Coturnix japonica: one gene and its partner. The protein of the gene in region 2 interacts with the protein of the main gene of each other region in a biochemical or structural test. Links are inferred from orthologs where the notes say so. Each region holds a gene or a part of one and is shown on either strand. Other genes may lie near its edges.

Region 1 (4,309 bases), on a different chromosome or scaffold from region 2:
GGGCGGAAAGGCGTGCAGGACCCCGCTGTTCTCCTTGTCTTTGTTGCCCCCCACAGGGAGGCTGATCACCCCAGCAGCCTGCTTTTGCTTTAGATAAGAGACCAGATTCCTGAGCGGCCTCTGGGTGGAGGTGGTGGCCTCGCCAGCCCCGGCTGTGGAGCGGTTGTCTGATGTGCCGGGCACAGCCAAAAGGATGGCGTAACCATTGGGACCCGCCACCTTGATGCGGCGGTTCACCTCATCCAACTTGGGCTGGTCCAGACGAAGACGTTGGGTGATCTTGAGCTGAGCTACTTTCCCACCAGTCGCTCCTTCCACAAGGAGACTGCTGGCAACTCCGAGGTCCCCCTGAAGCAGGTGCATATTGGACGGGAAATTGCTGTTCTTCAGCAGAAGCATCCCCTGCCACGCCAAGCACAGCTTGGGGGCTCCCCCGGCCTGCGATGCTCCGTCCTGCTGCTGTTTCTGAGGTGGAGGTTTGAGGCGGGAGCCTCCACCGCCTCCCTCTGCAGCACGTTCATCCTTTTTGGCCGGGCTTTTGCACTCCTGTGCAGCAGCAGCAGAAGTGCGATGTTTCCGCTCCCTTTCAGCGGAATTCTTTCGGTCACGCTTTTCGTTCTGACCCCTCTCCAAGCTGCCCCTCCGTGACTCCCGGATGGGAGAGGGCCGCTCCAAGAGGAGCAAGCGAGACGATGAACGCTCCGGGTCGCTGCTGTAACGCTCCCTCCCCCCGACGAGCTCAGGGCTGCGGTCTGGTGGTGTGGTCGTGGTCAAGCAGTGACGCTTCCGAGAGGAAGAAGAGCGCTCGCTGTCCGGAGAGCGATCCAAGTGCCGGCCTCCGTCCTCAGCCAGCCTCCGTTTCCTAGGCTGATCCCTACTACTGCCCAACTCCCGCTCCCCTCGGTCCCGCTCTAAGGACCAACCATCCCGACGGCGTTCTAGGCTTTCCAGTGGGTCGTAGGCAGCTGCTCGGTTACTCCTGTCCCGTACAGGGGGTGGGGGTGGCACCCACTCTGTCTCGGGATAAAGGTCTCTATCACGGTCTCTATAGAGCAACGGTGGCGTCCTGTCCCGGGCACCCCGCAGAGGATCGGGTGGGGCCCCCCGGTGAGCCCCAAAAGCAGCCGCCTCCGCCACGAGCTCATAATGAGCAGGAGGGGGCAAAGGCAGGGGCTGCAGGTAGGGCTGCTGGTACCGATGCTCGGTATCCGCAAAGTCAACGCGGAGGCGGCGATCCGGCCCACCCAATGGAAAGCCACGCATGTGGGTGCAGGCCGCCTGCGCCGCGTCCAGGCTCTCATACTGGATGTAGGCCCATGAATCACCTTTGCGGTAATCAATGGTACGAATGGTGCCAAAACGGTCAAACTCCCTGGCCAAGGCGGCAAGGGGCACCCAAGGCCCGAGGCCACCCACCCAGAGCCTGGTAGTTGGAGTGGCTTTACCATACCCAATCTTGATAGGGTTACGCAGGAGCACCTTTCCCGACATGGCCAGCTTGGCTCGATGCGCCATGTCCAGATTCTCAAACTTAAGAAACCCATAAGTGCTAGTCTGCCCGCGCCCCGGCCTTTTGATGTCCACCTCAGTAATGACCCCAAAACGATCAAAAGCTCGACGTAAATCTGTCTCGCTCACGGTGATGTCCAGGTTGCCCAGGAACAACGTGCGGTTGGCTCTCTGGTCATCCTCAGGGCTGATCTCCTCCTCACTGGCAGCTCCAGCACCCCCTCCTCCTCCACGGAATCCCCCAGCAGCCGCCACGCTGGCCACCCTTTCCAGCCCATAGGCCGGCCGCACTCGCGCCTCATAAAAACCCCCATAGTCCCTCTCCCTCTCCAACTCCCTGGGCAAAGGGGGAGGGGGCGGCAAGCGGCCCAAAGCGAGCTGCTGCAGCCGGTAGTCCCGGTAACCCAACGCCCCTCCGCTGCCGGCGGGGGACAAAGCCCGCTGCGTCGCCCCAGCTGCGGGATGCCGTACAGCTGCCGCCGCCGCCGCCAGCCCCACGGCTGCCGTGCCGTAGGGTGACTCCTTGTCCAGCAGCGCCGGCGAACGGCTGCTCCTCCTCCTGCTGCTCCCTCCGCCGCTCCCCACGTAGACGGCCTCGATCTTCAGCGGCCGGTCGTACAGCACGAGGCGACCACGGGCGTGTTTAGCGGCTCGTGCATCTTCAGGCCGTCGGAAGTTAACGAAAGCCACACGTTCATCCGCAGCGCCGGTACCGGGCGGGAGGCGACTGATTTTAACACTCACATCTCCGAATCGTTTGAACTCATGGAACAGCCCGTCCTCCACCGCCTCGTCGCTCAGAGCCGAGCCCAGCTCGCTGATCTTCAGTGTCTTGTACTCCCCGCTGTCAGACGACGACGACTGGGCCGCAACCGTCCGGGACTCACCCCCGCGGCTGCTGCTGCTCCGTGACGGCTCCGTGCTCTTCCCGCCGTACCCGTGCCGCCCTCCCGTGCCCGTGGCCGCCCCGCTCTCGGTCCGTGCGGCCTTGTCCTGGTGCGGGCCCCGCCTCCCGCTGTTGTTATCGTTCGAAGCCGCCGCCGCCGCTTTGCCGCCGTTGGAGCCGCCGCCGGAGCCGCTGGGCTTCTTGCTGCTCCGCTCTCGCGTTGAGGAGGAGGATGAGGCCGAGTCCTCGCCGCCCCCTCCGCCCCGAGACCGCTTGGCTTTGGCGGGGGAGCGCTCCTTGCCTTTCATGGCGGTGCCCGGCGGGGCCGCCTCCCGCCCGGCCCTGCGCCCCGGCGGCCTCACCGACGGACCGACCGCCGCGCTCACGCATCCGCCGCCATCTTGGAAGCCGCGGCCGCCGCCGACCCCGCCCCCTCGGCGCCCATTGGCCGCTCGCAGCCTCACCCCACCCTCTCTCTCCCGCCGGGCGGAAATCCCGCCCCACCGCCCCGCCGATCCTCGTTCCTATTGGCTGAGGGAGATGTCTGTCTATGGGCCGGCCTCGCGCGCCGGGAAGAGCCGCCCCCCATCCGCCCCGCCCCGCTGTCTCATTGGATAGTTAGAAAGGGCGCGGCCTTCTGATTGGTCCAGCTCTCCTGTCACTAGGAGCGGCTCTGCCTTTTTCCCATTGGTCATTGGGCGAAACTCTCTCCTCCTTCCAATTGGTCCTTTCACCTGCCAGTTATCTCGCCCCTGCTCCCCATTGGTCCGCGGGTTCCCGTTGTCCCGCTCAAATTCTCGCGAGCAGCGCTTTACCCGCCCCCTTTTCCCATTGGTCACTGCCAACCTGGTCTGCCTTGTTCTGATTGGTTGAAGCCAATGCCACTCCTGCAGAAGCGCGGGATGCTGCCCACGCTCCGCTCTTCGTTTACCATTGGACGAGAAAATCTCCCTAAGCACCCGATTGGATGCGGGTAGGAGCTTGCGGATTGGCTAATATGGCTGTCAGTCAAGCGCGCTTTGATTTTGATTGGTCTCCTGGTGGGTGTTGGGGTTCATTAATTACATGGAGGGTGTTTGGGTTCATTATATGGGGGCTGATTGGGTTCATTAATTACGTGGGGGTGATTGGGTTCGTTAATTACCTGGGGGGTGATTGGGTTCCTTAATTACATGGGGGGTGATTGGGTTCGTTAATTACCTGGGGGTATTTGGGTTAATTACCTGGGGGTGTTTGGGTTCCTTAATTACATGGAGGGGTGTTGGTGTTCATTAATTACCTGGGGGGTGATTGGGTTCATTAATTACATGGGGGGTGTTTGGGTTAATTAATTACCTGGAGGGTTTGGGGGTTCATTATGGGGGGGGTGTTTGGGTTCATTATATGGGGGGTGATTGGGTTCATTAATTACATGGGGGATATTTGGGTTCATTAATTACCTGGGGGGTTTGGGGGTTCATTAATTACCTGGGGGGTGTTTGGGTTCATTATATGGGGGATATTTGGGTTCATTAATTACCTGGGGGGTGTTTGGGTTCATTATATGGGGGATATTTGGGTTCATTAATTACCTGGGGGGTATTTAGGTTCATTACCTGGGGGATGTTTGGGTTCATTAATTTACCTGGGGGATATTTGGGTTCATTAATTACCTGAGGGGTGTTTGGGTTCATTATATGGGGATATTTGGGTTCATTAATTTACCGGGGGGGTTTTGGGCGTTCATAATACCTGGGGGTATTTAGCGTTCATTACCTGGGGGGATGTTTGGGTTCATTAATTACCTGGGGGGTTTTGGGGTTTATTAATTACCTGGGGGGTATTTAGGTTCATTACCTGGGGGGTCTGGGGGTTTATTAATTACCTGGGGGGTATTTAGGTTCATTACCTGGGGGGTGTCTGGGTGCTGCAGGC
Region 2 (3,623 bases):
AGAAAAACGCCTGCAGGAAATAGAAGAACTAGAGCGAGAAGCTGAGAGGAAAAAAATAGAAGAAAACGTAACCTCAGCTGTACCATCTAATGAACAAGAAGATGAGTACCACCCAGAGGTGAAACTAAAAACAGCTGATCTTGAGGATGTCGTAGATGAAGAACCTGGAAATGATGATGGTTAGTGTCATCTGCTTTTCTTGACCTCGAATCTACTGTTTCAGAAGGGAAAGTAATTGCAGCTTATTCACTAAAACATTTTATGTTAAAATTCTTTTTTAACTTAGGTGGTTTGGAGCAGAGTTGTTAAGGTCCAACTCCTTTCTCGTTTCTATTGCTTTCTTATAAACTGGTTCAGTGTTGATAGAAGTGTTATTCTTTTGTGTGTGTGTGTTGGGTTGGTTTGATTTTTTTTGCTCTACTCAAGCTATAAATATTCCTACCTCTATGGTGAATCCAGATTTGATGTTGATTGAGTTAAGGATCTGTAGTGCTTGCTTTCAGAACAGTTTGTAGATCTTAGGCATAGCATCCTTATCTCTCCTTGTTTCCTCAGTTAAACTATCCTGAACCAATTCCCATTGCTTTTGTTTTTTCTTTTTTCCAACTATCCCATTAGTTCCCTTTCTTGCCCTTAACTTAGATTTTAAAGTCTCTGTGTGTTCTGGTGATACTCAGTGTTTCCTTGTGTGCTGTGATGGAAGTCGAGTACTTGCTGAAGAGTTAATTTGTGAGTGTTTGCTTTGAAGATGGTATGTTCATGTATGATCTAATATGCTGTTCATGAAAATTTTTCAGGTGAAGCAGAAGATCAGGATGAAAAAGAAGACACAGAGAAAGAAAACACTGAAAAAGATGATGATGTTGAGCAGGAACTTGTCAGCAATGACCCTACAGACCCTAAGTGGATAGAATCTCCTAAGACAAATGGCCATATTGTGAATGGCCCATTTCTGTTGGAACAACAGATCGAAGATGAAGATGACGAAGAGGAAGAATGTCCAAATCCAGAGGAATATAATCTTGATGAGCCAAATGCAAAAAGTGATTACTCTTATAGCAGCTCTTATGAACAGTTTAATGGTGAATTGCCAAATGGACGTCACAAAATTCCCGAGTCGCAGTTCTCTGAATTTTCAGCTTCTGTGTTCTCTGGGGCTCTGGAGTCTGTAGCTTGTGGTTCTGCTGTTTCTGAAGGATCAACTGTAACAGAAAGAGAGGAGAGCAGCCCATCTCATGACAGGAGCAGAACAGTTTCAGCCTCAAGCACTGGGGATTTGCCAAAAAGTAAGTACTACTCTTGCCTGGCACATGCCATCCATGCCTGAAGAGTCTCAGAGTTGTAGGTGATGTCTTATTATAGAATGAGAGCTGGAATTAAACCTTATGTATGTGTTTTATCTTTGTTCAGTGATGTCTGTGTAGAAGTTGTTTTTTTTTTTCACTTGAAAATTCAGTACCAAATCTGTTGAGTAGGCCATCACATACTTTTTTCAGTAGCATAAAAGCATATTTCAGTAACAGAGGAGGACTCTATTACACCATTTCCTTTACTTTGATTGAGCAGTAGAACCAGAACTTAATGATGTTACCTTTTCTTCACATTCAGCTGAAGTTTTAACTCCCTGCTCGGCTCTAAAGGGTGCCCACTGTAAAGATGGTGCCCACGTGCCAGCCTCTGAACTCTGCTCCTCTGCAGTGTGCAGACTGCTCCCATGTCCTTGCTTTCCTTGGCACTGCCCAGGCTTGGGCATAAAGTGGGATATGAGGTCAGACTAGTCATAGCTAGGACTGGGTTGCAGCTGCAGCCCGCTACTGAGAACCATTTTTTTCATTGCTCACTGATTTAATCTTCATGGCTTTGCCTGCAGTGAACATTTTGCTTATTGAATATTACGTCATCTGAATGCAAAACCTCATGATTATTTAAAATTTACTGTTTCATCTTAGAAGAGTTTTAGGAAAAAAATAAAAAAAGTAAGGCTGGTATCAAGGAGTGGAGACTTTTCAGGTATTTTGGTCCCAAACCATTCTGGTTATCTTTGACCTCCTATAACCAAGTTTCAAGGAAAAGCAAATGTGTTATTTTTTGATGGGGGCCTGATCCGGGTCTATAAATATCTGAGGTGTGGGGGGCACAGTGGAGAGGCCAGACTGTTTTCAGCAGTGTGTGGAGACAGGACAAGGGGAAATGGCCAGAAACTGGAGCATAGGAAGTTCTGCACAAATGTGTGCAAGAACTTCTTTACAGTGAGGGTGACGGAGCACTGGAACAGGCTGCCCAGGGAGGTGGTGGAGTCTCCTTCTCTGGAGATATTCAAGACCTGCCTGGACGCCGAGCTGTGTGATGTGGTGTAGGGAGCCTGCTTTGGCAGGGGGGTTGGACTCGATGATCTCTGGAGGTCCCTTCCAACCCCTACAATTCTGTGATTCTGTGGAAGAATTGTAGCAGTGTCCTTAAAGGCGGTGGCTCTGCTAAGCATGCTCTAAGTAAATTGGATGCTTATTCATACTTTCCAACGTGAGAGTTTGATCAATGCAACTTGGAACACAAAACGAAAGCAGTCTTGTTCTGTTACAGTAAATCTACCATCCCAAATTTTAAGAGGAAAGCAAAATTGTGATTTTTTTTCTGATTTAGAACTTGTTCTAAAGTGTATTAAATAAGTTACTGTTGTAAAGTATTTGCATTAGCAGGTCATCTACACAGGAAAGAGAGAAGGAAGGTGATATATGCAAGTACGCGTTATTCACATAACTTAAGGCCAGAGGTGGTGTAAGATTGTTTAACTTGGCTTCCTTTTAACAGCAGGATTTTTGCTATTGAAGTGTTTCACACAGTTTATTATAGAATCTACAAAAGGTAATCTGCAAATATTCAAGGAATATGCAATAAAATACAATTGAGTAGAGAGAGCCCTCCCCTCGCCCACTGGCAGTGCTGTGTACAACTGGCTGTTGCTCAGCTTGCCATCACCAGAACCCCCTCTTCCATTTCACTGCTGGCAATATAGAGGCAGAAGGCCTCTCCTGCTGTTTTCCTGGGGTGGTGTGTAGAATCCTCATGCATCCAGAGCATAAAGCTGGTGTTGTCAGCAAGAGATCAGCTTATCTCCACAGCTGGAGAAACAAGCCTACTTCGTTCCTCTTTGATGTTACCTCATCAGGAGCAATATACAGTTCTTGTGTGCAAAGAAAGTAAAATGACCGTAAATTCAGCCATAGCTCACCGCTTCCTCAGAAGGAGAAAAAGCTGAATGTTGTTCATCTGAATGGCACAATTTAAACAGTGATAAGACAAATTCAACTACATTAGAATGAAGGACGGTATGGCAGTTGCAGGCCATTCAATATTTCAACTGGTGCTGCTTTTTCACTGTATCTTTAGTGCTCATTTCATGTATGGATGCAGACTTTGTTTGCGTGTCTCTCCATGTAGCCATTGCTATACGTTCTTATGTAACATGTTCTCAACTAATGCTGATCTGCATTCAGTGGATGAGCAACTATTTTTTGTCAAGTTTTTACCTTTATTTAATTCTTTGTTGAGTGTATAACTGTGCGACCAGACGCTCTCAGGGACAGATTTATTAATTTCGTCATGACTTTCCTCCTCATTCCAGT

The links. The genes of interacting proteins can lie anywhere in the genome.
Region 1: of the proteins of SRPK2 (region 2) and RBM15, one has a biochemical effect on the other in vitro, tested with the Homo sapiens proteins (2 studies listed by BioGRID and IntAct). The link is inferred for Coturnix japonica from reciprocal best matches to the Homo sapiens genes SRPK2 and RBM15.

What each region holds. Positions count from the first base shown.
Region 1 is NC_029541.1:1,765,502-1,769,810, reverse strand, and holds the start of RBM15 (RNA-binding protein 15), read right to left. Parts: upstream 2,837-4,309; 5' UTR 2,704-2,836; coding exon 1-2,703. UniProt on the Homo sapiens protein: RNA-binding protein that acts as a key regulator of N6-methyladenosine (m6A) methylation of RNAs, thereby regulating different processes, such as hematopoietic cell homeostasis, alternative splicing of mRNAs and X chromosome inactivation mediated by Xist RNA.
Region 2 is NC_029516.1:12,447,624-12,451,246, reverse strand, and holds part of SRPK2 (SRSF protein kinase 2), read left to right. Parts: coding exon 1-179; intron 180-797; coding exon 798-1,286; intron 1,287-3,623. UniProt on the Homo sapiens protein: Serine/arginine-rich protein-specific kinase which specifically phosphorylates its substrates at serine residues located in regions rich in arginine/serine dipeptides, known as RS domains and is involved in the phosphorylation of SR splicing factors and the regulation of splicing.